Linked DNA regions of Nothobranchius furzeri. The protein of the gene in region 5 interacts with the protein of the main gene of each other region in a biochemical or structural test. Links are inferred from orthologs where the notes say so. Each region holds a gene or a part of one and is shown on either strand. Other genes may lie near its edges.

Region 1 (6,385 bases), on a different chromosome or scaffold from region 5:
ATCCCAAGGTGTTCCCTGGCCAGGTGAGAGACATAGTCCCTCCACCGTGTCCTGGGTCTACCTTTAGGTCTCCTCCCGGTTGGACGTGCCCGGAAAACCTCACCAGGGAGGCGTCCAGGAGGCATCCTGGCCAGACGCCCTAGCTACCTCAACTGACTCTTCTCGATGTGGAGGAGCAGCGGGTCTACTCCGAGCCCCTCCCAAATGACCGAGCTTCTCACCCTATCTCTAAGGGAGAGCCCAGCTACTCTTCGGAGAAAACTCATTTCGGCCGCTTGTATCCGCGATCTCCTTCTTTCAGTCACTGCCCAAAGCTCATGACCATAGGTGAGGGTAGGAACGTAGATCTACCGGTAAATCGAGAGCTTCGCCTTCTGACTCAGCTCTCTTCACCACGACAGACCGGTACAACGCCCACATCACTGCAGATGCAGCACCAATCCGCAAGACACGCAAGTATGATAGATTAATATTAAAACACATTTTGAACACCTTTTGTCTTAAAATGTCTGACCAGTAGGTGGCGATATCACATAAATTAACCATTTTCTATGAAAACTGCGTTTTCAAGAAGCTTAATTTGGTAATCTGGAGTATTTTAATGATTAAACTAGAAATCTGAAGGAAAATGAATTTAGCATGTGTAAATAATTTATGAATATTTTTGATTTGTATAATATTTACTTTCAATAGAAAAATACAAAGCCTTGACATTAAAAAATTTGCCTTTTTACTGAAAAAATTAATAATTAATGCATTATCTGATTCTGATGGTATTGTTAGAATTTGAAGATGCGATTCTTGATGAACTAATAAAACCTAAACAAACAATAACAGACACAAACGTTAAGGTTCAGATCGGTGTTATTTTCTGCACTCAGGGTTAATTTTTTATAACAGCAAGCACAGGCCAGGACATTTCTGATAAATATATTAGTTTGCTTATTTATATAATGAGGCACCCCACAGGAGCAACAGCAACAGACAACAGGATTGGACTGGTTTTTGAGCTTTAACATTTACTTTCTTCCCCAAACACAAAAATAAAGCTGCTGATTCCACTCGACAGACTCAATAGTGTTAAAAGTAAAATAAATACAAATTCTATTTCAGTTGTGGAATGAAATGCAAACAATCCTCATATCATAATAAAAAGTACATCCTGGTCAAAGTAAAGCTGCATATATGGGGAAAATGCAACACTGGGGGGGGGGGGGGGGCTAAATAAATCACTGATCTATCATTTCTGTGGTGTCTGAAGCCGCTCTACATGACTACAAAAATAAATCTTTACAAATCCCAATGATTTTACAGCAAGCATAAGAATGAAACCGTTTTCACACACACATACACACCATAATAAACACACACTTCACCGATCTTCAGCTCATATTGCAGGAGGACCTTGTTATGACGAGCCGTCAGCTGATATCTGTGATTGCTGTGGTCAGGCGGATGTGTCTATTTGCTGGAGGCTACGATCTTGATGTACTGGAGCGCGCTATGTGCCGCCACATTGTGAGCGTTGCTGCAGGAGATGCCGGTGCCGTGACACATGGTGACGGGGTCGGTGGATAGTTCTGCCAGGCACTGGTACTGTCCGTTTACAGTCAGCTCATCTGTCAGACATGAACACAGTCAGGGATTTTCTACAGGCAGACATAGGGTCTCCCCTGAGTCTGTTTTTCTGCCTTTCGGGATAAAAGAAGCCTCCAAACATCAACCAAAGCACTAAATTCTTACCAATATCATAGTATGTGACCTCGAAGCCCTGCTCGTGGGACAGATCCAACAACATCTGAATGTAATCCGCGTTGGGAATGTTCAGCGGGCTTCTCCTCAGTAGGGAAATCTTTTCTGCGGAGGACTTTTTCACATTCTCGAGGAGGACACTCGGTTTAGGAGTCTGAAAAACCAGCAACAAGAACATTTCAAACATCTTGTGGATGTTTTAGGAGGTGAAATGAAAGACCTGACTCACCCAGGTGATCTCCGGACCGCCTGACAAACTTTGAAGCTTTGCCACAATTTTCTCTGCAGCCTCCCTTTTTGCTGCTTTTTTAGAACTTCCAACACCTAAAAATAAATAAATAAATAAAACAGGATTAAAACAACAGAACCAAAACAAACAAACTATTTAAATGACTGAAAAAAATGTTTAATCTTTCCTTTTTCTGTAAGAGAGTCAAATCTACAAGCGACAGTGAACTCCCTCTGATGTGGTGGACCAGACTCAGCTAGAACTGCATATTCAGGCCGACGCCATCCTCTCTGGATCGTTAACTCCTAATAATAATTTTTAATTTTAGGTCAATTAATATGAAGAGAAAAATGATATATAATTAACTAAAATGACACCCTTGATCAGTTGCTTAAAGGTTAAATAATACAAACATGACTGTAAAACAGCTGCAGCAAGATAAGTACTCTCTTCTGTAACACAGACCGTCAGAAATTACATAAAACAATAATTTTACATTTTCACAAAAGCAAACGTGACATATAAAAGATGTAACGTGATCACACCTGCAGAAGGGACACAGAGCTGGGATTGTAGTTTGCATCCGCTGCATCCCCGTTGGTGTCGGACTTCCCAGGAGAGGTCCTATTGGGCGTCACGTCAAACACATTAGAGCTTCAACAGTTATAAGAAATCAAATAAATACAACAAAACGCAAAACTTCTGACGACTGACGTTGCTGAATATATTTGTTCTATAACTTTACAGATAATGCTGTCAAATTATTTAACTACAAATAAAATTCCTATTGCAGCCTAAGCAGCATTAAAATATTCACATATGAGACCCCGATAGAAGCTGTACATTCTTTGGTTTTCGCTGTAAAAACCAGGTAAATGAACTAATGGTAAGCAAATAGTTTTGACTTCACTCACAATTTTTTAGAATCGAGGTTCAACAGCTTCAGCGCAGCACTTGCAGCCTGGTGTTTAGCAGCCTTTTTAGTAGGACCTTGACCTGAAATAAAATATAACGAAACAAATTTGTTTCAAAAGCAAAATTAAGTGAATCTTATCACAGATTTTAATTTCTAGCTTAAAATTTTTGCAATTATTTTTAATTTTCTTTGCACAGGTCTACGCTGGAAGTGCAACGGGACACGCTGATGATGCATTTAAGAGTTTACAGCAGCAAAAGACTAACCTGTAACGTGATCAGTGAGTTCTAACTGGATTTTCAGCATGAAACCTCAACAATAAATTACCTCCTGAGTTAGGAAGTACCTAGGTAGTACCTACCTGTACACCGAATGTCTGCAACTCTCACGCTGAAGAAGAAGCTGGGCTGGTGGCCACTTCCTTCAGCTTTCTCCATCTCGTACACAGGAGCGTTCCCACTGGCAGTCCCATACTCATGCAGGATTTGGATCGGGGTCTTCCCCAGGCTGGCCCATTCTGCTTCTTGTGAATCCAAACTTATATTTAACAAAGAAACAATAACATGCAACCTTTGTTACAGGTTAATCTGGGGTTATTTTGGTTGAACAAATTATATTTTATGAATTTTATATGGTGTCTACCAAACTGTTTAGGAAAAATAGGAACTGTAGCTAATTGCGAGTATTTCATGATTACTTCTAATATAAAATTATTTTGTTGTTTCATCACAAAAACAATCTATAATCTGTTAAATAGGAGAAATAAATGTATGTATAACCGTTGGTTTTCAATGTAATGGTTTGAAGCGTCCATTTAAACCGTACTGTTGTTTTTACGCACACAAGAAGATAAAATCATTAACTAGTTTCTGTAAATGATTTGAATTTAACTTGTAAATAATAACGCTACAAACCTTTTGTCGTCCGGTGACTGATACCCCTGTTGAGACATGTTGGATTATTTACGGAGGTCAGCAGGAATTTATCTGGTGGAAACTTAAAAAATAAAGATAAATATAATCTAATGCTTCAGGTTTTCTTCACATTAAACATATTCATGTTTCTAAACGAAGAAAATGCTGCATCCTTCCTGGAGAAAAAGGGAAATAAAAGTCGTGTTCACATCCGGGTCAGCGGAAGTGGTTGCAGCGATTTAGTGCACCCCCTGCTGGTTGAGATAATGGACTGCAATCAAAAACCTAAAATTGTATCTCACTAGTGGGGGGAACGTTTTAGCAAAACAATAAATAAAATGTATTTATGTGATGCAAAAATTAAGTAAGACTAAATTGACACAAATTTTATTTCAGTTTTGAAAACTAATTATAATAGGAAACCAGTTTTTTTCCAGGTTACTCTTAGACAAAGCATACTTTGTATCAAAGTTTATTTTTCATCAACTTTGTTCATTTGACATTTTTTTCTATTCCCATTACAATAATCTAAATAGCCACATTTTACTATTTTGACAAAGAACACGGAAATGCCATAAATACTGTTGCCATGCATCAAAAGATCCTGGGTTCAAATCCCAGCTGGAACCTTGCATAGTTTGCATTTTCTCTCCATACACACCAACTCAGGCTTTCTCCTAATGTGCAAAAACATGCATGTTTGAGTAATTGTCAATTCTATTAGACCCTAGGTGTGTATGTGAGTAGAAGTTTGTCCCTTTGAGACTCTGTCCAGGTCAGACTCTGCCTCTCATCCAATAACTGTTGGACATAAGCACCCAGAACATTTCCACTAATGTATTTGATAAGAAATATATTCTTTAAGAAATTAAAAAAAATATATATATATAGTACTGTTGAACAGTTAAGATTGTTTAGAGGCTTGAATTTGTCATGATTACACCTAGATAGCAGTAGAAAACAAAGTTGGTAATAAATTCATTTTCAGTCTAAATGCTTATTGCTTTGGCTATATAAAGTGCCACATCAGGGACAATTTAAATAAAATCATTCTGCAGCAAAAACTAAGACCTAACACCAACTCAAATGAAACATAAAACATGTTCAGAATTAGAATGTCGTGTCAAGGCGCTGAAATTTGGCACACTCAGCTTCTTTGGAAATAACTAGGCAGACTCCATTCTGCAGCAAAAACTAAGACCTAACACCAACTCAAATGAAACATAAAACATGTTCAGAATTAGAATGTCGTGTCAAGGCGCTGAAATTTGGCACACTCAGCTTCTTTGGAAATAACTAGGCAGACTCCTGGGCTTTTACAAGAGCTCATCAATAAACATACAAATAACGGTCACACAGACACGCACCAATATTTAAAGATGTAAACAGTGTGTGGAATCGGCCTCCCAGGGATCATTACATTCTATTAACAGGAGATCAGAAGGTTTTCAACTCAGGAGGAGGTGTTTTGGGAATGGGGAAGACCACTCTTTTGCGGAGTGAGAAGGCTGGTTGAGGCATCTGCTTTGTCTGACCCCACTTATCAGCAGACATCTTGCTCACATCGGCGTTCACTTGTGTCAGGATAGAGATGAGATCAACCTCCCTGAGAAAGACAAGAGATGCTGTGAGACGATGACAAAAACACCACTTAGATACAGTAACCCCCAAAGCACACTGGAGGCGTCAGCGGCACGGAACATCTCTGCTTCAAATAGAATCCATTATAGTCTAAGGGTTGATCCAGACCGAACGCGACACAGGACATTTTAGGTGTGTCCCAGAAATGGCTCTCTGCGCCGCTAAAGACAGGATTGGGTTCCATTTTTGCCACAGGCCACTTCTGGGACATATCAATTTCCACAGGTAACATAGAGCTAGACAGGGCAATCCCACACGGTATCCGTGTGCAACGTCCAGCTTTAAAACAAATACTATTGCACAAATGCAATTTTTTATCCATCAAGATTACATCAATACATGTGACCTAACGGATTATTTACTCCCAGCATCTTTCAAGAAATGCAACGGTGTTTTTTGTCCTAGCAGTGGAGAGGCACAACATTAAATACGACATCAAATGTGATCTCCTTCTTCTTTTTGGTTAAATGGTGGATGGCACAAACAAACAGTGATCTTTGAAGTCTCGTGGAATTTTGTGATTCTACCAGTTAAAAGAGGAGGATGGAGGAGAAGCCGTTCCGCATCTGAGATGCTTCTTGACATGGATTAACACGCCACGAAACACGCGAGTAAACCGTTCCGCTGCCGTTAATACCTCCAGTGTGGACTGGGGTTGCCTTTTTACGACCAATCATATCATAGAAAAGAAGAGACAGACCTGTTAGGCAGGTAGATGAAACAATGAGCAAAGTGTAACAATAAGAGAAAAACACCTCCAAACAGTACAGATATCGCACTTTACTTACTGCGGCACCATTTGGATGAGGTTTCGGCACAATGACTGGATATACCAGGTGCCACTTTTCTTGTCTCTGTAGGACACATAAGACGGAACGGTGGCCATTCCCAGCAGGAAATCTGCTCTTGATGGAATGGTGTCAGGAACTCTTG
Region 2 (6,657 bases), on a different chromosome or scaffold from region 5:
CTTTAATCAGGTGAAAACAACAGTAAAATTACAATATTTTGTTAAAAATGGCAAGTTAGGAGTTCATATTTCATTTACATTTTTGTTACAGGATTTAAAACTGCAGCACAAAAAATGTAGCACCCAAAGTTAAAAAACATTGTTTAACTTCCTCCTTTACAATAATCAGAGGTGGTTGTACTTTAAGAATATTTTTGGTTCCTTACTGAAAAGTGTTCACTCTGTCATTTACAGGGTGAAAACATCACTGCACAGTCTAAAATAACTAATTGATCCAAATAACAAGACATTTTCTTATTAATTTGGGGCTAAACGTGTAGATTTGGTGACATCATCACACTGAAACTAAAATTTAAACTATCAAAATAAAAGTCAAACACTGGGTTAAATTCTAGGCGTCACAAACACAAACGTCTTGAGGTAATTATACTCAGCACGAGTCTAACAGCTTTATTCACCTGGTCTGAGATCACAAAGCTTATCAGGGTTTGGTATTCTAAATGTATTTTAAAAAAAGGATCATATTTTATTTCATGACAAGTACTTCAAAACAGAAAAGACCTTTACAAAACTCAAAAAAAGTTACTAGAATTTGTCAAAGATGGTTCATTCATGGATATTCGCTCCGACGTTGATTTTGTTGTAAAATAAAACACAAAGATTTGAGGAAAAAAACGACAAAGTCAAATTTCTCCATTAATTTGAACTCAAATCAGACAAGCTGATTATTTTAAAACATACTTAAAATTATTAATTTCAACTAACATCATTTGTGACATATGACTCAAAAGTGCATCATTTATGACGTCATGTATATATTTTAAACTTCATATGTAAGAAAACAGCTAATTATATGAAGGATAAATGGGCTAAAAACAATTTTTTTTCCTAAAACAATCTGTCACAAGTACACAAAATATCAAGGGAGTGGGTTTGAGTTTTAGGCTGTGAGATTTTCACCAGCTGGACAACAAATGAACTAGAGATAAACTTGTGTTTAGCTTCAAGGCAGGATAAAAATGTCTCTTAACCAATCTGAGGTCAAAAAGCCTCTACTGTACAACAAGGAGGTGTACATTGGCATCGCGTGGTGGCGAGTTCGGGTCTGCGGACAAAAAACGCGCCCAGGTGTCTCATTTTCCTCCTGCCATGATTTTAAGGTACTGCAGTGCATTGTGAGCCGCGTGGGCTCGAGCAGCTTCTACGTTCGGAGCAAAGCCATGACACACAGTGATGGGTTGTGTGGACAGCTCCACCAGACACTGACAGCGGCCGCTGAGGCTGCGCTCCTCTGAAAAACAAACAAGCATGGATGTGAAGAAAAAAAACGAGGAGTTTCTAACCGCTTTACGGTGCTCCTGTTGTGCTGTTGAGCGTGAGCTCACCGAGGTCGAGGTAACTGACATCAAAGCGCTGCTCCACGGACAGGTCGCTCAGCAACGAGCAGAAGTTGGAGCCAGCTGGCATTCCCAGAGGGTGGCTGCGGAGCTGCAGGATCTTCTCTCCAGCAGAGTTACGCAGAGAATCCCAGGTGCAGCTGAAACTTTTGCTTTTACCCGACTCCGCTCTGCTGCCCATGTGCTGCGTAAATGGGATGATTTTATACACGTTTTACACAGACACAGTAGAGCCAAGCAGAGAAGCTTCATCACCATAACATGGGCACAGTTTGTGATATTTTGAGAATTGCACAAGAAATTTAAGCGCAAGCATATAAATCACTGCTGTGGTGTTTAGCTCTCACCAAATTGAAGGTATCTTCTTCTGCATCTGCCTCGTTGCTGCTCCTCAGGTCCACTGGAACGTCGTGGATCCGTGAGAGCATCTTAGCGGCTGCATTCCTCTTGGCTAACTTCTTAGATGTGCCACTTCCTGGACAGGAAAAAGGAAATCACTCCTTCACTTGGCATAAAAGCAGATTTTGACAAATCCAATTGAGCGTGAAAGCACAACATGCAGATATCAAACAAGAATGAGAGAAGATTTACCAATTTCTACAAATCTCTCCACTCTGCAGGTCATGGTAAACTCTTTTCGATGTGCTGGACCCGACTCCTGAGTGACCGTGTACTCTGGCAAACGCCATCCTTTCTGCACCACCAACTCCTGAAGTAAATCAAAACAGAAAAAAAAAGGAAGGAAACTATAGAAATATTCTAACAGAAACCAGTGTTGTGGATTACCAGGATAAAATAAAGTCTCTATGGCGTAGTTACCTGCAGCGCCCCAACGGGGTTACATTCCGACTGTTGAGAACTGCTGGAAGTCTTCATCTCTGACTGAGAGCTGCATAAAACATGAGAGGACAGACTAAATCCACACAAATCTCTCTCTTCCATCAACTCAATGTTGAAACATCGTCTGGATCCAATCAAGACAAGCCATTAAGCATCACTTAAGCATCGCTAGGTTCTTTTCTACATTTTAAAATGAAGTAGGGTCCTGACCAGTCTCCGTCAATAGACACATCAACCTCGATAAACACGTCTTCTCCGACAGCGACTCCAGCTGGATCTCCGAGGCTTCCTTTGAGCATCTTCAGAGCAGCCTCAGCTGCTTTGTGCTTAGCTGCCTTCTTGCTGGGCCCTTGGCCGGTGCAGCTGATCTCTCCGACGGAGACGCGGAATGTGAAGTTGGGCTGGTGGGCCTGTCCCTCCGCCTTCAGCAGGTCGTACACTGGGGTTTTGCCTATCCGCGTTCCATACTCCTGCAGCAGACTGATGGGCGTCTTTCCAGGATTCACAGCCAGCATTTGCTCAATACTATTTAAAAGATAGAAAGCATAAGCAGCTGTTCACTTATTTTGTTATCATCTTTACTGAGATCAAAACACAACAATGTGGCTAGTTTATTGCTGCTAAAATCTAAAGGGCATACGCTACAATGTTCAGTGGAAAAACTACACTTGTCTATATTTTAGTTTCACGAAATGCAACAAGAAATAGGAAAAGTGTGCCATCTTTAAGGCTCAATCTGTGAAATATGTTTCCAAGAAAAAAAATACTATTATTTGCCAAATGAATACTGACCCAAATAATAAGTGTGGTGTTTTGAGGTGAGATTCTTCACAGTGTACAAAGGAAATGGGCACAAACCAATAAAACTCTATTATTTACATTATCAGAGTAAAAGAAGGCACTTTTATTCAATGATTTATTTGTGAGGCGGCAGCTACAGCCATCTGGAATGAAGATTTGAACCAGAAATGTTTGCAATCAGCTTATTTTATTACATATATTACAAATGGAATAAAGAGATTTGTGTAATTTATGCCGATCTTTACATTTAGGAAAACATTATATTAGTGTTTTTGACCACCTGTTGCCTTCCAGATTACAATAATCCCTCAAAAATCAACCTAGCAGTAAAAAGCCACCAGATAAAGAGTATTAACGATGAGTCAAACAGTTAAGCTGTAGAGATTAAAAGAATAACAGAAGATTAAACACTTAAAACAACATGCACGCGTTAGTTTCTGAGGCCTTTGACTCTGACATTTTATATTGTTTACATACAAATGGCTTTTATCAAGAAGACAATCCCACCTGGAGTCCCCGGAGTTTCTCTTCCAGCTATCCGAAGCTGTCTCGTCGTTCATTCCCCGTTTCGCGCAGACAGAACCGCTCGGTTTCGGATGTAAAATCCCCCCCGCCACAACAGACACGTACTCTCATTAGACGGTATTTATTGTTGTCCCAAAACGATGAGCTAAAGCTGCAACATGATGGATACCAGAAGACGAAACCACCTCTACAGCGACAACCTCGGTCACACGATTATGACGTAGATTGCGTCCTGGGCAGCGTAAGCCCCGATTGGCCCAAATGCCTTCTGTGCCTCAGAAGGTGGGAATGACACTCATCAAGCATTCATCCCTAAATATACTGATGGGTCGAAAGTGTCAGGAAATATAACGGGATTTTCTTTCTGGATTCCGACATTAAGTATATATTATAAAAGTCGAACATCTAATAATCTGTCAGTTTATACAGTGGAAATGTTAGCCATTTCATTTAGTTTACAGTGGATAGAACAAAATGGTGTTAGGAAAAGTATTATTTGCTCAGACTCCATGTCAGCATTGTTATCAATTAAAGAAATGTCAGCTGATAAGAGGTCAGATATTTTGTATGAAATATTTGAGTGCATGTTTAGGTTAGGTTATACAAAAGGTATAATGATTTCTTATTAATAAAACCTTGTTGCAGCACTAAAGCAGAAAAATGAGATTTTGCAAGAAATATGCTAAATATTTACATATGAATTGTTTTAGAGCCGTTTTATTGGCAGAATCTGATATTAATTTAGTTCTTACAAAAAAATGGGTCCCAACGTGGTTTGTGTGGCGTTGCCATAGTGTGACGTCATAGGCACAGATCCCCTGTCCTCTTGTTTGGAAATGGAAATATGATCACCCTACATTAAACAAACTGTCCACCCGGGCTTTTGCGCTGCACAGAGATGCTTCGCTGCCTATGACTTTGAACGCCAGTTGAGAGTCAGTCTCATTCAGACTGACCAATGAAGAGAGGGCCTCAAGTTTAGACCCTCTCCTCATTGGTCATTCCACACGAGGTGGGTCAAAGGTTACCCTGAGCGGGTTACATGATGTCAGGCATTCAAGTATTGAGTATATTTACTGCATATTACAGTAAAATATTCTGTATGTGACCATATTATGGTGATCCTTGGGTCGTGATGATGGGGACCTTTAATATTGTTGCCCAGGGTACAACTAAGTGTTAATCTGACCCTGGGAGCGGAGGTAGTGACTAACACAGCACGTCAGCTCTGTCTTATCAAATGCACCAAGTAAGTTACGAAAAAAGTAACTTTAAATATTCAACCGAAAAAGAGGCGAGCTGAAGAAAACCTAGGGATTACTGAAGAAACGTGAGCAACATTGAAGCAATCACAGCGAGATCCGTTACTGTCTGTGTGTGTGCGCGGATGAGCCGGACGGACTGCGCTCCCGGCCGGCTGCAGTTTTCTGTGTAGGGAGGGGCGGGCGCTCTATGTGACTGGCCAATCACAGAGCGTGAAGACAGTCAGTTACCCAATGAGGATTTTCCTTCAGCACGATTACGGATATTTACGTGTTTTACTCGTTTCATGCTCGTATTCGTCAAAAATGCTCATCCCTAATTGCTATAATACATTATAGTAATGTATGTGGTCTAAATGTATTCTACAATAAATAAACTGCTGTGTCTCATTGGTGTGGTTTAGTAACACAATTGGGAAATGATTTAGGTTATTTTGACTAATTTACCTAGGAGCTATTGAAAAAAACCTTAATTTTTTTTATAAAAATCCTAATAAAATGATCAGATCGCATGAAAGGTGTTAACAACTGCTGTGTCTCATTGATCTAGCTTAGTAACAACACTGAGAAATTGTTTTGGGTATTTTGACAAATTTACCTAGCTACTGGAAAAATCCCTTAATTATGGATAAAAATCCTAATAAAAAAGATGAGATTGTATGAAAGTGTTTATAAATGGCTGTGTCTCATTGGTGTGGCTTAGTAACACAATTACGAAATGGGTTTGGGTGTGTTGACTATTTAGCTAGGATCTATTGAAAAAAGAAATCCCTTAATTTTGGATAAAAATCCTAATAAAAAAATCAAATTGTATGAAAGTTGTTAAAAATTGCCGTGTCTCATTGGTGTGGCTTAGTAACACAATTGAGAAATGATTTTGGTTATTTTGACTCATTTACCTAGGAGCTATTGAAAAAATCCCTTAATTATGGATAAAAATCCTAATAAAAAAGATGAGATTGTATGAAAGTGTTTATAAACGGCTGTGTCTCATTGGTGTGGCTTAGTAACACAATTAGGAAATGGGTTTGGGTGTGTTGATTATTTAGCTAGGATCTATTGAAAAAAAATCCCTTAATTTTGGATAAAAATCCTAATAAAAAATCAAATTAAATGAAAGGTGTCATAAACTGCTGTGTCTCATTGGTGTGGCTTAGTAACACAATTGAGAAATGATTTTGGTTATTTTGACTAATTTACCTAGGAGCTATTGAAAAAAATCCCTTTTCAGGGACCAGAATAGAATAAACGCTCTGCCTCCATGTTGCTCACTGAGTAGGAGGACACAGCAGACACAGAGGTGCTCTCAGCTCCCCCACATTCATCAACACCATGTCTCCATTTTCAGCCCGTGTACTAGTACACTCGGACCTGTGAATGAATGATGGCTGAGGCTGCCAGACTTGTCTGCCATATATTACACAAAGCAAATTTTCTTTTTGATCTTCATTTGTTAAATTTGATCTAAAATTGCAATTTTAAATGTTGAGTAAGGACTAAAAATCTAAACTGCAGTCCTTTTTGAGCTGTCTCCCATCGGTCCACAAGAGGGCAGACACATTTGCAGCTATGAAAATTAGTGAGTTTGACAAGTGTTATCATTTTCTTTTTCTGTGGCACACTTGTATTTGTGCATTTATCTTGTTTAAAGGTGCAGTATGTAAGAAAATAGTGAAAATTTTACAGTGAGAAAATCCCAAAAGAGTCTAATGCTTCAGTCAATTTGGAAGCGAGGTTCTACTGAAACATATTTCATATCCAGCTGGCTGCAGGGATTGTCACTTTTTCTCCTTTCAAAACAAAGGAAGGACGGACATATGCTGTTTACCAAC
Region 3 (6,662 bases), on a different chromosome or scaffold from region 5:
TCATTTGTAAAACGATCAAGTTCTCTTATTTTATTTTTTAACCAACAATGGACTTCTTCCCAAAACCTCTTACTGACAGGACAGCTGAAAAATAAGTGTTCTGTTCCTTCAGGGCTTTCCTGACATAATTCACAAGGGTCAACTTCAAAACCTCAGTGTCTCTGCTGATGGATAGTAGTTGTTAAGAATTTTAAATTGCATTTCTTTTACTTTGGGCATTATAGGCCATTTTATAAATTTTAATTGTTTTCTTCAATTATTGGATTTCCTAGTATTTTTTATTTTAATCTTTCTATCATAATCATGATAGATATATTTTTAAAGGCTCCATTAAAAAAATTATTTTCACATTTTCTTTCTGTGATGTTCATTTCTCCTATTAATAAATTAGGAAGTTTTATTTGAACATTAGAGAAGAGAATTGTGTTTTTTATCATTTGTATCAAAGTCACTGGTATAGCCTTACATACTTTCTCATATTCCTGAATAGAACATTGAATGTTATTAAATTTGTATTTAAAATTCTGTAGCTGTAGTATTTCACCATCTTTATCCATAACATCGTGTCCAAAGATAATTCCGTGATAATACCACTGTTGGTTAAACAAAGACTTTCTGTTTGAAAAAATTCTCGATTATTCAACAAGGTGGCACAATGAGGAGTAAAATTATGGGTAAATACCATCTTCCAATAATGCAATACTTGTTTGTGAAATTCAGATCATTTAAAAGGCAATTTAGTGATTTCAAAGTCACATTTCAAAAAAAAGTTTAGCCCCCCAAACTTCTTGAAGATATTTTTTGGAATATGAAACCAAATTGTATCTGTCTTTAATAGAAACTCTTTCAGCCACTTTGTTTTAAATGTTCCCAGCATTGCTTCAAAATCCACAGATTTCATACCTCCATTTTTATGTTCTTTGACTAACTGGGATTTTTTTATATAATGGGTTTTATTTCTCCATATAAATTTGTATATAATAGCATTAATATTTTTCACTGTTTTTGGAGCAATATAAAGGGATTGACATGGATATATCAGTTGGGAAAAACCCTCAGACTTGGACAATAAATTTCGCCCAAAAATAAAAAGATCTCTGCTAAGCCATTGGTTCAGAGTTTTTTGTATTTGATCAGTTTTTTTCTTTCATATATTTCTTCTCTTTGTTTTTTGTCTGCAACTATCTTAACTCCTAGATATTTTATTTCTTTTTTAACAGGAATTGACATTATCTCATTATCTGTGCATTCATACAGTGAAAGTTACTCACATTTTTTGTGTTCAGACGAAGACCTGATGCTTTGGAAAAAAATGAAATAATTTGTAATTCTTTGTTAACCATAGATTTATCCTTTAGAAAAAAAAACAGTGTCATCTGCAAACTGACTTAAACAAAATTCAAAATCAAAAAATGTATACCCTGAAAATTTGGATGATTTATTACTAGATATGCTAATAGTTGTGTACATAAGATAAACAGTTTGGGGCTGATTGGACATCCTTGTCTTATTCCACAAGTTATATTTATTATTTTTGTTAGTCCTGGGTTTAAGGAAACATAACTGTTAATATCAGTATAGAACATTTTTATCACTGAACAAATTTTTTTTCTAAAACCGAAATATTCTAGGGTGGAAAATAAAAAATTATGTTCTATAGAATCAAAAGCTTTGAAATAGTCTATAAATAAAATGAGGCTGTCCGTTTCCAAAATAGACCAATAATCCAGTATATCCAGTACTAATCTCACATTATTATGTATGCTTCTTCCTTTTATAAACGCAGACTGATTATTATCTACTATTTTATCAATTACCGTTTTCAGTCTTTCTAATAGCGCTAATAATTTATAATCATTGCACAATAGAGTAATTGGCCTCCAGTTGTCTAAGTCTGTTGTATCTTTTTTTGGTTTGGGAAGAAGGGTTATTATTCCAGTTTTCATTGTTGGGGTAAGACATCCTTCATTTATACACTCATTAAATGTACTTAATAACAATTCTTGAACATCTTCCCAAAAAAAATTAAGAAATTCTGAGGTCAATCCATCAATACCGGGCGATTTCCCATTTTTCTTTTTTTTTCAGGTAATTTTCTACTTCGTTAATATTCAAATCATCCTCCAGATTTTTCCTGTCTTCCTCTCCAATAGATTTAATATTGTTCTTTATCTGAGTGAAGAAGGATTTACATTCCTCCTCACAGAAATTAGAACAATATAGGTCTGAGTAAAAACGTTGAACTTTCTCCTTTATTTGATTTTGGTCTACTATTACAGTGTCATTTTTTTAAATTTGCATATTTTCTTTTTGGATTGTCTAGACTTTTCTAATCCATAAAAATATGTTGAGTTCTTTTTAGTGCAACTTAGTATGATGGGTATGATCTGACAAGCTACGGGTGGCGTGGCGCTGTGGCTCATCCTTCATTAATTTAATTGAAAACATCTAAAGGTTGGAAAAGTAATAACACCACCCTGCAGTTTAACTCAACTGTGCCACCTTGTTGTAATCATTTTTTAATCAGTCGTTTAGTCGTTTATGCCTAAGTATCGCCCGAAGCTTCCTCGTGAACAACCAGTGGCAGTGGCGTTACAGGATCTGCTCGGGAACACACCGGAAATGAGTGCTACGTCGAGGTCTGTTCGCCCATGTATTATGTCGTATTCATGTCCATGCATAAAACAAGCCTCGATATTTAATGAAGTATATATATCAGGAGGCTTTGTTGTTTCATGTGTGTTCTTTTACATTTTAGCCAGGGATACGTGGAAAGGAACCACACTAAATAAGTAGTGGAACCATTGAAATGTATATAATCTAAACCAAAGCCATTTTGGAGGGGACACATATCAACGTCACACAGACCATTCATCCGGCATTTGCGTTTGCTTTGGTTGTTTTGGTCGAATGTGAGTAAAAAACAATTTGAATATTAACTGTCTTTATTCTCGTTGCGTTTCTTACTTGGGTTAGAAGGTATGTCGGTGAAAACGTAAACGGTGTGTCTACAGTTGGCTAGAAGCTAATGCTAGGCGCTAATCTCATCGGTTCACTCACGTTAAAGCTGAAAACGTTACCTCAGTTTGTACTCTTGACGGAATGTAGCTCGTTGTAACCATCGACATAAATATACGTTGTAACACGCTGTTATCTTTATTATAAGTAAATAGCAATAATTAAAGCTTGCATTTTACATCAAACCCTTCCGGCATGTTTGCTAACGGTAGCTAATTAAAAGGCACGAGAAAAAACAGTCCGATTCAAAACAAGTGTTTGAGTTTCATTATAAGATCCAGATGCCCCGCCTGATTGCCCATTGACCGCTGGAGATGGGCACCAGACCCCCGCGATCCTACGTGGACAAAGCGGGTTCAGACAATGGATGAATGAATACGATCCAGAACCACCATAGAAGTAAAGATGTCCATGGAAACAGCGGACACAGAGTTTCAGGCTAAACTCCAGCGGACGTGATGTTCATTAATCCCCTAAAGGCAGTTTGGTTCTAATTCTCCTGCTCGGAATTTTTTTTCCTCAACAAAGATCATTTTATCGTTTAAGCTGCCACCGTTAATCACATTTATTCTGATCTGCTCGCTCGTCTTGTCCAGCTGAGGCAGATGTTTTATGTATTAGTGAGGATGCATCTGTACTTTAAAATGTTTATGTAATTCTTAAGACCAGAGAGTCCACAGAGGAGGAAAGTCCCCTTCCTGTCAGTCCACCATGGCGGACATCAAGAACTTCCTCTATGCCTGGTGTGGGAAGAAGAAACTGACTCCAAGCTACGATATTCAAGCTGCAGGAAACAAAATCAGGCAGAAGTTTAAGTGTGAGGTGAGTCCTCCACCTGGTTCACCTGAGGATGCCGTCTCTCTCCCTCTTTATGGTTCTGACCATAAACACTCTGTGCCTGCAGGTTCGTGTTGATGGCTTCAACTACACAGGGATGGGGAACTCCACCAACAAGAAGGATGCTCAGACCAACGCAGCCCGGGATTTTGTCAATTATCTGGTCCGAATTGGACAAATGAGTGCAGCTGAGGTTCCTGCTCTTGGGGTCAGTTCTGTTTAGTTTTTACTCTGAATGGTTTTTGTGTTTACAAACATTCACACTGGTGATGTAGGCTTAGGGTTTCCCAGAGGGATGCACCAAAAATGTTGGCCACCAAAACATTTGGCTGAAAATGACCCGAAGGTGCTTTTTCTGTTTTTTAGCCGAGACAGACCTCCGCCCTCATGTGGCAACTTGCTCTTTGCTTCATAAAAATCATACATTCGTACTGATTTCAAAAGGATAGTAAAGTTTTCTTCTTTTTAGTAATGCTGTTTTATTCCGATCACTGAAATTATCATATCGATTATATATGCAACACACTTTAACTGTTTTCACATCTACCGCGTCTGCCTGACTTTTTTTTTGCTCTTTGACATTCCCCTATATCTGTCACTATTAGCGATGTTCCTTTCTGCACCCAAATATGTCCTGAACAGTGAAATAAGCTTTGGATCGTGTGTGTGAGGCGTGTTTACACTCATGAAGCACACAGACACTGTTGCTGCTGTGCAGCTGCAGTGTCTCTTTCTTCCTCACTGAGAACGAGTGATTGTCTTTATCCGAGGGTGAATATTACTCTTCAGAATCAGTCGGCCATTACCAGACAACTTTGTCAACAGTTAACTCTATGTACTCCGAACACTTTAACAGAAACACCAGAAAGTGTTACTCAGCTTGAAGTTACACTACACTGTCTTTTGGTGTAAAGTAAGAACTTCATGAGGGATTATATTTGCAGCTGTGGCTCGTTAAACACAATATTTCGACTTTGGCACCTAAAGGGTTAATTATACGGCCTTTCTCAGCATGCCTGTCAGTTTTAAGTCTGTACATTTATAATTTGTAATATATCAGTTTATTGCCAGACTTGAAGTCCATTTTAAAAGAAAATAACATAATGATAAAAAAATAACATACAAGATAAACACAGGGAGAAAAAAAAAGATACCAATTAACATGAATACTAATAAGATCCTATATAAAACACAGGATATAACTGCAGCGGGAGTAAGGGACAACAAAACTAACTAGTTGAGATAAATCTACCCCAACATTTTAACCAGTGCTTTCTCAGCCTAGACAACTAACGAGAGCAGCTCACAGTGGGATGTGAATGCAACTATAATACTATTGGAAGATTCAGCCGTCTCATGAACTTGAATATTAAATTTCTTAGAAGCGCCTTAAATGTGCACACTCAGAAACTAACGTTTAACTAGCACTGCCTCCCCTGGGAATTTTGAAGAGGATTCTCATTGCATCGTTGTAGGCCACTTGTAGCCTGTGCAAGCTAGACTTTTATAGAATGACCACAGATGTGCAGTATATAGTGGTGTGCAGTATGCTTTAAATAATGCCACTTTAACAGGTGTGGAACAACTGCTACATTTCCCTGCAGTGGTGTTTGCTTGCACATATAGCTTGCCTGTAAATATCATCATCGTCACTCATATTGGCTGTGATAAAGTGTCCAAGATATTTTATCTTCTCACAGACCGTAAGACTGTTGCCGGACAAAATGAACACAGGAAACTTACGCTTTTTATCCTGGATGGTTCTGTAGATTAGAACAGCACTTTTGCTTGAGTTATATTTTAAATCATAGTCCATTCCATACCCAGTACTAACATCTAGGAGCTGCTGCATTCCTGCACTACTTGGGCAAAAACTACAAGGTCATCCGCATACATAAGGTGATTAATCCGAACATCACCTATCAAACAGCCCGTGTTACAAGCTCTCAAGACGCCCAGATGACTCATCAACATATACGTTGAACAAAACTGGAGATACATTTCCACCCTGCCTTACCCCATTGGACCAAGCCCCCACAATGCGGCTCAAAACTTGAGTCCAACGCGGAAGTACCAAAAATTGCAGTTCCACCCTCATCCGCTGGGGGCTGGTGTCAGAAGCGAGCAAATCCTCATTGACTCCCATGTTAAAAATACCAATTTCACAGCAGAAATAAACATGTTTACAGCCTGGTACCAAAACATGTTTTTGTTTTAAATTATCTAGTTTACACTCATGACAACTCTGAGGGGGGTGAATTTTTTTTCTCACTCTTCTGTTTAAGTGTATTAAAAGCCTAAAATTCTGTATAATTAATGAGCATCAGACCCACGTGACCACAGAGCTAGCTCCGTGGAAAGACCTCAGTAGAGCCTCGGCCTGGCTTGGAAACTGCTCCGGGATTTTGAGTCTCTGTGTGTGTGTATTCTTTTTTGGATATTTTTTGTGCAATGGTTGGACAAAATGACTTGCTGTGGCATTAATTGCACTAATAGAGCATCCAAGGAGTCTCCACTTCATTTTTTTCTATAAGTAAAATTACATTTATGTATTTTAGGTCACTGCCGAGCTGAGCTTAGATTTTAACTTGTACTGTTAAACCATGAAATTTAAATGTAATAGGGTAAAACCCAGTGCATTTAACATAATGCTGCACTTTAGAAAATGGGTTGAAATATAACATGTTGGTGGAGCTGGGTTCCGACTATCGGCTTGTGGAGCTCTCGGGAGACCGATGTTTTCCACCCGTTCTCCCCAGCGGCAGCTCAGCTCAGCTGTCTGATCGCGGCTTGTCTGCTGCGCGGGC
Region 4 (6,438 bases), on a different chromosome or scaffold from region 5:
TACCCAAAGCTCATGACCATAGGTGAGGATTGGGACGTAGATCGACCGGTAAATCGAGAGCCTGGCTTTCTGGCTCAGCTCCCTCTTCACCACGACAGATCGGCTCAGCGTCCGCATCACTGCAGACGCCGAACCAATCCGCCTGTCGATCTCCCGATCCCTCCTACCCTCACTCGTGAACAAGACCCCGAGATACTTAAACTCCTCCACTTGAGGTAGGACCTCTCCCCCGACCCGGAGTTGGCAAGCCACCCCTTTATGTGGCATCCACTTAGAAAATGTTCCCTGATTATGAAACTTTGGCTGAATAGCGCTTGTTCTTGTCTCCAATGTGGCGACACATCCAGGAGCCGTCTGAGGAGAAGCCCAGAATCTCACATCCTCTTCAGCTCAGAAAGCGCCGATGTGATTACGCACAAGCGTGACGCGTCAACCCGGTCTCACAGTAAGACCGGGTTGGAACTGTTCAGGTTTACGAAGACAATCTTTACATTTGGAATTAACATACAGATATTAAATTATTTCAGTAAAATATAAAGCTTTTTATTTAAATATCCATTCATTATTTTACAAGCACAGAGAGCCGCATCAGATGGATGGAAGGGCCGCGGGTTGCCGACCCCTGGTATAGCCTATAAAATGACATGTTTTCTCCAGGACCAGAGAGGACGCAAACTCAATACCTCTTTTATTGTGAGGTAATAATTTCTCAGAGTTTTGCGGTTGCGGGCGGGAGTGTGTAGACATGCACGCTGCGGTTGCGGGCGGGAGTGTGTAGACATGCACGCTGCGGTTGCGGGCGGGAGTGTGTAGACATGCACGCTGCGGTTGCGGGCGGGAGTGTAACACACACGTTGTGGTTGCGGGCGGTAATGGTCAGAAATTCAGCGGGGGCGGGCAGGAGCGGGATGAAGAAAACAGTCCAACGCAGGGCTCTAGTACAGACCCAGAAGACATCTGGATCTGGAGAGGGCGGGGCTGCAGGTTCAGATTCTGTCAGCAGTCACACACGGGTTCTGACTCACGTGCTCACCTGTTTGTACTTCCTCACGTCCCAGACCTCCATCTGCCCCTGCAGGTTCCCAAAGCCAGCCAGAACCAGGATGTGGCCCTGAGGACTGAGACCAGAAAGGACGGTTTACTCAACAGTACTACAGTCACAGAACCGGTTCTGATCCGACACTGAGCAGGTTGGATCAAGACTCAAACAGACCTGAACATTAAGTTGAACTGAGCTTATCAGTTCTGGTTCTGTACATTAGAGGCAGACTCAGAACCATCTGATGGTGACTCTAGAACCTTCGACCTCGGAGTGGAAAGCAAGAGTATAAAGTTGTGCCGACAGGTTCTGGTACCAGCTGGTTCAGTCTGGACCTGCGATGGAGACTGATCTCAGGCTCACCTGTAGTAGGCGGCATTTCTGGGCCCGGTTCCGAAGTCGAATATGGGCTCGCATTTCAGGTTGAATACAGTGGCTTTGGCGGGCATGAAGCCGTACACCACACAGAACTCGGAGGAGTTTGGACTCCAGACCACGTCATAGATAGGTCCGTTCTTCGCTGTTTGAATTCAAAAAGAGAGGCAGGGTGAGTGCGTCAGAACAAAGTTCTGGTTCTGGTTTAATGGATGACTGGAAGTGTTGTCCGAACCCAGTTCTTACCGAGCTGTACCACCGCCGTCTCTCCATTCACGGCCAGGTAGTGCAGCGTCTGCTCTCCATAGTACGATGCCCCGCTTTTATCCACCTCGGTGCTCGCCGTCACCAGGACTGCCGACGCTGAGGGAACAACCCACAGGTTAGCTTTAGGGAACCCCGGCTTCTGCAGCCGTTCTGGACTCTCACCTTTCCTGTTCCAGTGCATGCTGACCCGGTCTGCCTTGAAGAAGCTTTTGTTGGCGAGCGCGGCGCTCGGACCTTCCAGAGCTGGATATTGATAGAGCCTCACAAACGACGGAGCTCCTTTGCTTCCTGGAACGTAGACGGCAACCTGTAGGGACAAACGGATCAGACAGCCGGACCTGGATTGAGTCTTCCTGTCCACTTTTCCTCACCTTGCTTGGCTGAGTTCCAGGTGAGAGAGCGAAGTCCGATACTTTCTGCATGTGCAGCTTGTTGGCGATGGAGTCTGAAACAAAACATTCTGGTCTTTAGACGTCCGGATCCGGATCTGAGACCAGGGCTGCCCTGGTTTACCAGCCACTCCTGTAGACCACCACCTACTACACCCCCACTGAAGCAGATGAACAAGTTTCTTACTGAAGTCGTTGTTCTCGTAGAAGTGCAGCTCATTGTTGACGCTCCTCACACAGATCTTCTCATCTTCAGACCAGATGGGACACCTGAGGACAAGAGACCTCATTAGAATTTCAACAACCAATCAGTGAGTAGACTGAGGCCTCCAGACTCACCAGGAGTCCACCTTTTTCTGATACAGAGATTTGATTGGACGGCCGCTTGGTAACTCCCACAGCCGGAGGTTGGCCTCGCCCTGAGGACTGTCCTGCGTCTCTGCAGAGACCAAAGAGAAAGCCTCGTTCACTCTGTCACGTCTGATTCATCCTCCACCATATGTCCTCTAAAGTCTTACTGGTGTATGGTTGCCAGGTAACCAGGATGTTGTTGAGGGGAGAAAACTCTATCAGAGCTGTCTTTGGGAGTTCAAAGTTGGACACTGTGGACCCATCTATACATTTGACCACGTGGACACTGAATGAAAGAAAGACAGTCACTTGAGCATTAGCATCCATCATCACGTCGATAGGAGACAAGACGATGAAAGTCTACCTGCGTCCGTTGCACCATCCAAAGAGTGTCCCATCTGTGCTGAAGGTGAGGCACCTGCTGGGATGGGTGTCCCTGAGAAGCAAACAAAAAAGGTTGATGCTCATCTGTCCATCTGTCTTTCCGTCCATCCATCTGTGGACAGTCAGAAGTGAACCCTTACCTCTGAAAGGCAGGGTGGGGCTCACAGCGGGGGGGTCCACTCAGCAGAGACGTTCCCTCTGATCCTCGGACTGAAACAGAAACAGCAGGTCATTTGTGTCTAGAACCAGCAGGAAGACATCCGTGCAACAACCTGGTCTCTGTAGAGGTACCACTGCCTGGTCCGCAGCACAAAGCCTCAAACCTGTTACCAGGAAGCAGGAAAATAACAGGTCTGGACCAGCGAGTGTCCAGGTGTTATTAATGAAATAACACCTCTAATGGTCCAGATATCAGAGACGTCATCAGGACAATGGGTTAACAAACCCTGCTCTTATTAATAAAACAGGGAAAATGTTGGGAGGTTAAATAAAATAAATGAAAATCATCTGATTTGTTATTCTGACCCAAATTCATTTCATTTTAACTTGTGAAGATTTCAGTCTGTCGGGGTCAGGAAATTCTAGTAAAACCGCTTCAGCTCGGTGCATCAGAGCTCCTAGTCCACCAGGTAAAATTAAAAATTCGCCTTTATTTGAACCTTTATTAGGAAACTTTCGTGTCACAGACGTGATAGACACGTTAATAAAGCATTTTTGACGAATAAAGCTGCAATAAAACATTGAAATCAGATTTATTTTCACTAAAAGGTCGCTATCGGATCGGTGTAAACATATAAACTCGTTCAAAAAACAAAGAGTTTAAACCTAATTTACCTGCTAACAGCGGCACGGGGGGCGCCATGTTTACATGTGTAGGAAGGTAGGTAGGAACCAAAGACCTTCCGGAAATGCGTCACAGCGGAAGTAGGCGGGCTCCTCAGTGCCACATCAGCGTAAAACACCGATTAGCAACAAGAGTTTCTGTTTCAAATTGAATAAAAACGTTTCTCTTAAGACTCAAATATCAACTCGTTTTGTTTCAATGAACACATTCTAGCGGAATTTATTGAATATAATGCAAAACGATTTTTTATGTAAAATAAAGCGATGTAGATAAAAAAAAGAGATCAAGTTGTAGAAATTAACAAAAAATTGGCTAAATTTCCTTTTCACAATAAAAGAATAGACTTTCACTATTGACTTGTTTGTCAAAACACTAAATTTTAGAGTAAGTGGTAAAACTTTGTTTTGATATTTTTTGTGTGCTCCACCAGGCTAAATAAAAAAAAACATTTCAAAAGTTAAGATTCTAAATTCGTTTAGCCCAATTTAAGCGACTTATAGAAAAAATGAAAACAACAAAGTTCATGACCAGCTTAGCTGAAAATTCAAACAAATTTAAATTGCGATTGCATCTGCAAATGCACTAGAATGGTAATAAAAATATTTTGGTGGATGAGGTGGTTTCTAGTTTGACACAACCAGCTCCTGGCACTAACATCTTTTAATTTCTTTATTTAGGCCTTTTAAAATGCATGCATTCATTTGTGAGGATGAAATCTTATATGCTGTATCTGCCTCACCAGCTTCATTTTGAACAATATTTATACACTTAATAAAACGTTGAAGCCTTTGTCACGTTTGAGATAAACATTTTTTGCGTATTTGCATATTTCATTAATCCTATAGTTTCAGCCTTTTCTTTTGAAAGAATGAACAGGAAACCTTATTTTGGATGACCACTAGCTTTACACGGGTGTCACGCAACCTGTGGGCGTGGTTTACTGGAATGAGGCGGGGCTTTAGCTTTTTGAGTACGTAGACAATCTGGAGTTCTTCCCAGTCCATGGAACAGCGAGGCGGCGCGAGAGACGAGTAAATAAAAACAATTAAAAGCGAATAAACAACCAGACAAGATGGTGGCTAAACAGAGAATCCGCATGGCGAACGAGAAACACAGTAAGAACATCACGCAGCGCGGGAACGTGGCCAAGTCAATGGTGAGTTAAAGAACCGATCCCGAACCAAAACCACACAGTCACAGCTGGTCCTCCTGATCCCACCGACTGATCAGCTGACCCAAAAACCGTTTAGAACGTGATCAGGCGGCTGGAGCGTGTAAAGATGCTTTATCTAAGCACTCAGCTGATCGATTATTCCTTTTAATCAAACTAGCTGGGATGTTGGTGTCCATGGGATCGATCAGAACCGTTCGATTAGACACGCAACAGGAAACCGTAATTCCAATTTCCAAAATAAAAGCACACGATTGGCGAGAGATCAAGTGAGAGAGGAAAAAGGTTTAAATTGATGACATCTTCAGTGTTGCTCAGTAAAAAAGGCACCGTTTTTGTTTCAGAGGAACTTGGAAGACGTAAAAGGTGTGGGGCCCTGGCTTCTAGCTCTCTTCATCTTTGTTGTCTGTGGATCAGGTAAGCCTACCGTTTGATGTTTCATGTAATGTATGAGCGTCTTCTCATGTAATCACTTGAAAAAAGTGGCCAAAACCCTTAAATGTACCCGTGGTGCCATCTCAATGTGGGCGGAGTTTGTTTAGTCACACAAGCTCAACCACTCTTCTTAGCTTAAATCTTTCCAGTTTGAACTATAATTGCTCTTTAGATGAGAAGCAACATCTTTAGAACTAACAACACATGTTTTATTCAAACTTCCAAACATGATGCGTCTGTCAGCTGTTGATGACATCATAAAATCAGGTTGCTCTGATGGCTTTTCCGACGAGCAGGTTGACCAGTAGGAAGTGAAGCTGGTAGGTCATGGTGCCCTGGTGTCTGTTGGTGGCCTGATTGGTAACCAACACCAGGTGGTGTACATCTGAGCATGCTCAGACTGGCTCAGGTCTGTTCTTGACAGGAGGTGGGACTCTTATCAGAGTCCAGCAGCTGAGCCCAGATCACTTATGATCAAACCTTCAGAGCAAACACCTAATAAAACACATTGGAAACGATGATAATGGTAAAATTGTAAAAGTCCAATTAGTCATCGTCACACATTGGTGAAATCACATCGCCACATTTCAACCGTCCCCATGGGGAGTGGTGTTGCTGCACTCCGGAACTATTTGGTGGTCTAACCTCTTAAAACTGAGTGGGTATCAGGCATTGGGTCCCATTTTTAAAGTCTTTGGTATGACCCGACTGGGATTTGAATCCTGATCTCCCACTCCTAGGGTGGACACTCCACCACTAGGTAGGGTTGTCACGGTGTGAAAATTTAACCTCACGGTTATTCTGACCAAAATTATCACGGTTTTCGGTATTATCGTATATTTTATGTGGCATATATTTTTTTTAAACATGTTACATTTTCAGAAAACTAAATAAACCCTGTATATCAGGAAAATATTGTCCTCAGTTTGTGTCTAAATTTAGCCTAAAATGTTTTATTTTGTAATTATGTTGTTTATTTGTTTACATTTTTCCCCTTTAGTCTTTAAAATACAATATTTGCCCATAACTACTTATTTTTTGTCTGTTTGATGTCATCATTTTAAAAATATTAGATCAGATGATACTCAGAACTCAAGTAGCCTTCTAATCAGATACTTTTTTACCCTTACTTGAGTAATAAACCCTATATCAGGAAAATATCGTCCTCGGTTTGTGTCCTTCC
Region 5 (5,004 bases):
CTGAAGCGGTGTGAAGCGCTCCGTCGCACGTCTAGGCGGTACCGTAGGAGGTGAGCTGCCGTGGTTCGCCGCATGCTACAGGAGCGGGCTATCTAGGTGCGCACAGCGTCCCCCGGTCCCCTCCTCCTCCCCCTCCTCCCTGTCCGGAACTCGACCTCACCAGTCTGAAGCAGCCACCCTGTCCGTGACAAGCCCGGACCTGTTACTAGGGGCTTCGTCCGGTTAAATTCCAGAACACGTTATCCGGATGTTTGTATTCAGACACGAAGGTCTTACGGACAGAGTCCGGAACATTTCCGTTTTTCATGGCCTGTCTGAAGGGGGCTTATGTAACATGTGTGGTCAGTAACTTCACGTTTACGGCTGGGACCTCTTTATGAAGGACTCACCTTGACTCTTTCATGGCCGGACGAGAGCTTCCAAAGAAGCTCAAAGAAGATCAACCCAAAAGCGAACATGTCCACTTTACGGTCATATTTTTTACCGGTCTTCTGTGAAATAAAGAACACGTTTATTCTTGCTGTTTTATTGCTACATAATGCTCTTCAGCCATAAAAACTTTTGACTTTGAAATGAAATGAAACATTAGATAAAAAGATGCTTGGTACATGAAGCAAACTGAGTAGAAATACATTTGTGACATGAAGTAAAAAGATAGCATTTATCAATAATCCTGCAATAAGGAGTCACCTGTTCCGGAGCCATGTAAGATCTGGTTCCAGTTCCTTTAGTCTTCTCCAGCAGGTTTTCATCATTCTCATCTGTATCAGTTGTGGCCAGACCAAAGTCTCCGATCTTCACCGTTCCGTCGCTCCCAAACATTATATTGGCAGGCTGAGGATTAAAAAACAAAGACAATTAAACTGAGTATAAATTATTTATAACTTTATTTATACTATTTTCTAATTACAACAGAATATTTGAAGCCACTCAGGCGCCTGAAAACTTAAATTTGAATCATTTCTGGATGAGAAAAACAAACAAACAAACAAAAAAACTATTAATGACTCCTAAATTCAACACATTTGAAAAAGAATGTCACCTTGAGGTCTCTGTGAATGAGGTTGTTGGAGTGAATGCATTCGACTCCACTGACTATCTGCTGGGCAATAGGAAGACCTTCTGCTCTTCTCTGTGGGCCTTTTAGATCATTAATGTTCTTCTCTTGTATCCAGTCTCTAAGGGTCTCTTGTTTACATAATTCCATTTTAATGTAGAGGTATTGTTGACACGAGCTACTCTTAGAGCTGCAACAGAGAGGGAATGATAACATGGTTGGTTGGTTGTAAAAGGAGAGACAACTTTTTGAAATTAGACAAGGCTTACTCAGAGGAGCTGACACTGAAGTCCTCATCTTGGTATCTTGAATCTTCTTCCCAACAATTGTAGTATCTAACAATGTTGGTGTGCAGGAGGTCCGATAATGCGATCACCTCTCGCAAAGCTTTTCTAAAAGGGACGATAAATGACTTTATTAATAAAAATACATGTTGTCATTCTTGTAATGCCTTTGCTAATAAAATGACTTTAACGTACTTTGTGCTGCGAACAATCTTCACGGCGTAATTCTTGCCCAACAGTTTTTCCTTTACTGTGTAAACTCGACCAAAGCCTCCTCTGCCAAGTGGCCCGGTGACTTCAAAATCTGATTTAAACCTGGAGAATATAAAAAGACTGTTTAGGCAAGAGTGATCCTTTATGAATCCTAAAGTACAACAGAAGGTTTCTGTCATACCTTGGCTCAGCTGGTGTACAAGCTGCAGGTTCAGTAGCTTTACTTTTGACGTCCTAAGAGAACAATTTAGTGGATTTTACTACAGCTACAATGTTTATGTTCAACTTTGCAATATTTAAACAATCTTAATTCAGTACTAAAGTGAGCGGTTCACTAAGCATTATCTTGTTATAATATTAAAATGCTAAACAACACAAGTGAGGGTGTGTGTTTTTGAAACCTACACCTACAGATTACCCAAGGGTGACGACAAAAACCACTTCAGAAATGATTTGAATTATTATAGAACAAACCTGCTTGCTGGGAGGCTTTACTGAGTCAGCAAATATCACCGAGTCACTCGTGTTTTGTGATAATTCACTAGAGTCTCTGAAAAACAAATTATAAGTACATTCTCAAATCATGGCAGCAATTTAATTATAGTTTTATATATCAGGACACAATGAAGTTACTTTGGTTTTCATCAGGTTCTAAAACTTCAAATGCAAAACAACAAAATGTACTCCAACATTGTTGTTGTTTAATAAACAGCTGTCCTTGTCTCACACTCCTGAGTCCTCCCCCTACAAACACCGCCCCACCCCAATGAGATTAGCCTTTTGTAGAAGACACACCATGCCAGCAAATCAGCGAAATACTGTCGCCACTGTGTGTCTTATCAAAGCGCCGTGGGGACATGGCGTTGCGGGAATTTTGCTGTATCCGTGCCACCAAGCAGTAGTGATTTTGCCGCAACGCTAGACTTGTGAATGCATTTTACGCCTTGGTGCAACAGAAGGTGGCGTCATGATCACGTGGGGAGTTACTGCCGAGCCCCGGCCAGAAACTATGTTAAAAATTAAAGTAAATACTAGGGCTGTCGCGGTAACCGCAAAAATGAAATATCGCGATATGAAGAAGCCCACCGCGCTGCATCATGCGCCACCGCGATTACTGAACTTGGTTCAACTCAATGATGCATGTTGAGAAGGATGGCTGCACTGGTATCAAAACGAAACGTTACTTCGCTCCTGTGGGAGCGCTTTGGTTTTCAGTACGTCAGCTGCTGCGCAGCCAGAGTCCTTGGCCGAGACAGAGCTGCCACCAGCGGCAAATAAATAAATAAACGCTCGGAGACCTGCTGAAGTCCCGGACAAGCACTGCTTCTGCAGCCGTCCCAAAGAGAGTTTGAGCCGAGCTGGAGCTCACTCGCTACCTGCAGGAGGAATGCATCCACCCTAAAGAAAACCCCCGTGACATGGTGGAGCAACAAACGGGAGATTCCCTTTGCTCGCCAGAGTCGCACGCAAGTATGTGTGCGTTAGTGCAACGAGCGCACCATCCGAGAGGCTTTTCAGTGTTGCTGCAAATGTTGCCACCCCTCTCAGATCCTCTCTCAAACCGTAGTTAACATGCTGGTTTTCCTTGTAGGTAACAAGGACGTGACCGAGCTATAAAGCACCGTCATTCGTGTGTGTGAAAGTGAAATGATAGTGCGCCCGCCCCCCGGCGCGCGCGCGCGCGCCCGGTACATGTAATTTTTTATGCTTGATTTTAAACAACTAAACAAAATGGGGACTTGTTTCTTATTTGTTAGATGCTGCAGCCAAATTTGCATTTAAAAGTTTAACCTCCTGAATTTTGTTGTTTTTAAGTTCAGTCGGACTCCGACTGTCGGAGAAACAAGCGTTACTGCGATCTGCGTTGTTACTGCCCTTTGATCTGCATTCAGTAAAGTGTTATTAAAGAAGGCACGGCAATTTTTAACCTTTTTTAAATGTGTAAACATTATGTTTAGATAGTACTGCAATAAAAAAGTGCTGCAATAATATCGCACACCGCAATATTAAGCCACCCTGAATCACCGCAGGGGGAATTCCTCAACCGCGACAGCCCTAGTAAATACAGGCAGTATGCTGAGATGATCAACTGGAGCGACGCAGAGCTCCAGGAGCTTCTTTCCGTTAGAGCTGGAGCTCAGATCACCAAAGACTGCACGGGAGCTGTGGAGGATAGACACCTTTGGGAACGGCTTTTGAACAAAACTTAATGAGCGTGGCTTCAATCGTAATAAAAAGCAAGTTATGTCCAAGATAAACGGAAGCCTACGGCAGCACAGGGATCACCCCATACCCTTTTTTCTAAAAAGGACACGATTGCGCCACATTACCGCCACGGTCTGACTACTTTTGTTACCTAAGGCTCCCTGATGCTGGCGATAGGGGGCAGTAGATACCTAAATCACTGCTTCCACATTATTTTTGTGTTCAAATAAGACCTTACCAACGGATGGCCCTTAGGGTCAAAAATCCCTGGGAGTGCAACCTCCAGCAACATAACAAGAACATCAGATTCCCTTTCATCACTGGCAATGAGTGAAGAGGTAAATGTGTAAAACAACGTTTATTAATGGTGAAAGTGTTGTAACCATTCGTTACAAATCAGTAAATGTATTTTGTCCTCATAGACTTCCATAGAAGGAAACAATATGGCGTTGCCCAGAGACTTGGACTCAGTCTCAATACTCACACTGCGCCCTGCGGACTTCAGAAAAGAGCACTTGGAGAAAGTGCGCAGTAGGGTTCGAGTGCGTAGTACACATGTGTGCAAATAATTGCAGAATTGAGACAGGGAGCATTGCGTTATCGATCGCAACGCATGCCGTGATGCTGGTTGTTGTGAAACTTTTTTCAAAAACCTTTATTAACAACTTTTAAACAAACAGCCAAACAGCTATTTGAAATAAATTAACATTTATTGCTGCAAATAATCGTCCTAAAATGAACTAATTTCATTAGAAAATACATATTTTCAGAAAAGGAACTTAAGCCTTTTCTTCCGCAGCAATGGCTTGTGGGTAATACCCTTGCCCAAGGTCCGCTTCGCTGCAGACTTGGGTGAAGTGCAGATTAAGGGTGCAATGGGGACGTGATCAACTTCTGCACTTGAAAATCGGGACACCCTACGCACTCGCACCCCTGGCCGGGAACGCGCAAATGAAAGGCGCAAGTGTGAGTACTGGGATTGGGCCTCAGACCCGCTCCCATGTATTTTAGAACAGATTTTTATGGTTATATATTATGAAACTGCCAATATCTTTTAACAACTGGGCATCTTTTAAGTCATTTACTACAACATTTCGATGGATATTTCCAGAGATTAACGGTAAAAACTACACACTGTCACTTTAAACTGGTTCTGTCTGAGTGCCTTACTTTTGAGTTGACTGTGTTGGTGATGAAATTCCTGCATCGCCCTCGGATGAGCTGACAGACACCTGAAATGCACAT

Evidence for each region.
Region 1: the proteins of interferon-induced, double-stranded RNA-activated protein kinase (region 5) and prkra form a complex in vitro, tested with the Homo sapiens proteins (3 studies listed by BioGRID and IntAct, with this or other methods). The link is inferred for Nothobranchius furzeri from reciprocal best matches to the Homo sapiens genes EIF2AK2 and PRKRA.
Region 2: the proteins of interferon-induced, double-stranded RNA-activated protein kinase (region 5) and tarbp2 form a complex in vitro, tested with the Homo sapiens proteins (2 studies listed by BioGRID, with this or other methods). The link is inferred for Nothobranchius furzeri from reciprocal best matches to the Homo sapiens genes EIF2AK2 and TARBP2.
Region 3: the proteins of interferon-induced, double-stranded RNA-activated protein kinase (region 5) and dhx9 form a complex in vitro, tested with the Homo sapiens proteins (2 studies listed by BioGRID, with this or other methods). The link is inferred for Nothobranchius furzeri from reciprocal best matches to the Homo sapiens genes EIF2AK2 and DHX9.
Region 4: of the proteins of interferon-induced, double-stranded RNA-activated protein kinase (region 5) and eif2a, one has a biochemical effect on the other in vitro, tested with the Homo sapiens proteins (4 studies listed by BioGRID, with this or other methods). The link is inferred for Nothobranchius furzeri from reciprocal best matches to the Homo sapiens genes EIF2AK2 and EIF2A.

What each region holds. Positions count from the first base shown.
Region 1 is NC_091754.1:21,791,577-21,797,961, forward strand, and holds prkra (interferon-inducible double-stranded RNA-dependent protein kinase activator A homolog), read right to left. Parts: upstream 4,002-6,385; 5' UTR 3,850-4,001; coding exon 3,812-3,849; intron 3,435-3,811; coding exon 3,259-3,434; intron 2,978-3,258; coding exon 2,896-2,977; intron 2,606-2,895; coding exon 2,527-2,605; intron 2,287-2,526; coding exon 2,168-2,286; intron 2,076-2,167; coding exon 1,982-2,075; intron 1,907-1,981; coding exon 1,744-1,906; intron 1,620-1,743; coding exon 1,462-1,619; 3' UTR 1,260-1,461; downstream 1-1,259. Other genes in the region: casp10 (caspase-8), read right to left, coding at 5,249-5,417, 6,241-6,385. UniProt on the Homo sapiens protein: Activates EIF2AK2/PKR in the absence of double-stranded RNA (dsRNA), leading to phosphorylation of EIF2S1/EFI2-alpha and inhibition of translation and induction of apoptosis.
Region 2 is NC_091743.1:62,018,309-62,024,965, reverse strand, and holds tarbp2 (RISC-loading complex subunit tarbp2), read right to left. Parts: upstream 3,742-6,657; 5' UTR 3,599-3,741; coding exon 3,546-3,598; intron 2,763-3,545; coding exon 2,448-2,762; intron 2,287-2,447; coding exon 2,217-2,286; intron 2,107-2,216; coding exon 1,989-2,106; intron 1,873-1,988; coding exon 1,745-1,872; intron 1,582-1,744; coding exon 1,386-1,581; intron 1,292-1,385; coding exon 1,134-1,291; 3' UTR 916-1,133; downstream 1-915. UniProt on the Homo sapiens protein: Required for formation of the RNA induced silencing complex (RISC). Component of the RISC loading complex (RLC), also known as the micro-RNA (miRNA) loading complex (miRLC), which is composed of DICER1, AGO2 and TARBP2.
Region 3 is NC_091751.1:34,778,766-34,785,427, reverse strand, and holds the start of dhx9 (ATP-dependent RNA helicase A), read left to right. Parts: upstream 1-2,757; 5' UTR 2,758-2,912; intron 2,913-3,682; 5' UTR 3,683-3,729; coding exon 3,730-3,840; intron 3,841-3,922; coding exon 3,923-4,063; intron 4,064-6,662. UniProt on the Homo sapiens protein: Multifunctional ATP-dependent nucleic acid helicase that unwinds DNA and RNA in a 3' to 5' direction and that plays important roles in many processes, such as DNA replication, transcriptional activation, post-transcriptional RNA regulation, mRNA translation and RNA-mediated gene silencing.
Region 4 is NC_091753.1:55,699,749-55,706,186, forward strand, and holds the start of eif2a (eukaryotic translation initiation factor 2A), read right to left. Parts: upstream 3,749-6,438; 5' UTR 3,668-3,748; coding exon 3,640-3,667; intron 3,016-3,639; coding exon 2,946-3,015; intron 2,858-2,945; coding exon 2,786-2,857; intron 2,708-2,785; coding exon 2,589-2,707; intron 2,510-2,588; coding exon 2,410-2,509; intron 2,341-2,409; coding exon 2,258-2,340; intron 2,127-2,257; coding exon 2,053-2,126; intron 1,989-2,052; coding exon 1,844-1,988; intron 1,778-1,843; coding exon 1,661-1,777; intron 1,560-1,660; coding exon 1,403-1,559; intron 1,119-1,402; coding exon 1,034-1,118; intron 1-1,033. Other genes in the region: stress-associated endoplasmic reticulum protein 2, read left to right, coding at 4,722-4,805, 5,165-5,237. UniProt on the Homo sapiens protein: Functions in the early steps of protein synthesis of a small number of specific mRNAs. Acts by directing the binding of methionyl-tRNAi to 40S ribosomal subunits.
Region 5 is NC_091752.1:1,789,663-1,794,666, reverse strand, and holds part of interferon-induced, double-stranded RNA-activated protein kinase, read right to left. Parts: intron 4,992-5,004; coding exon 4,930-4,991; intron 2,105-4,929; coding exon 2,029-2,104; intron 1,789-2,028; coding exon 1,736-1,788; intron 1,657-1,735; coding exon 1,537-1,656; intron 1,450-1,536; coding exon 1,327-1,449; intron 1,248-1,326; coding exon 1,043-1,247; intron 835-1,042; coding exon 691-834; intron 492-690; coding exon 390-491; intron 1-389.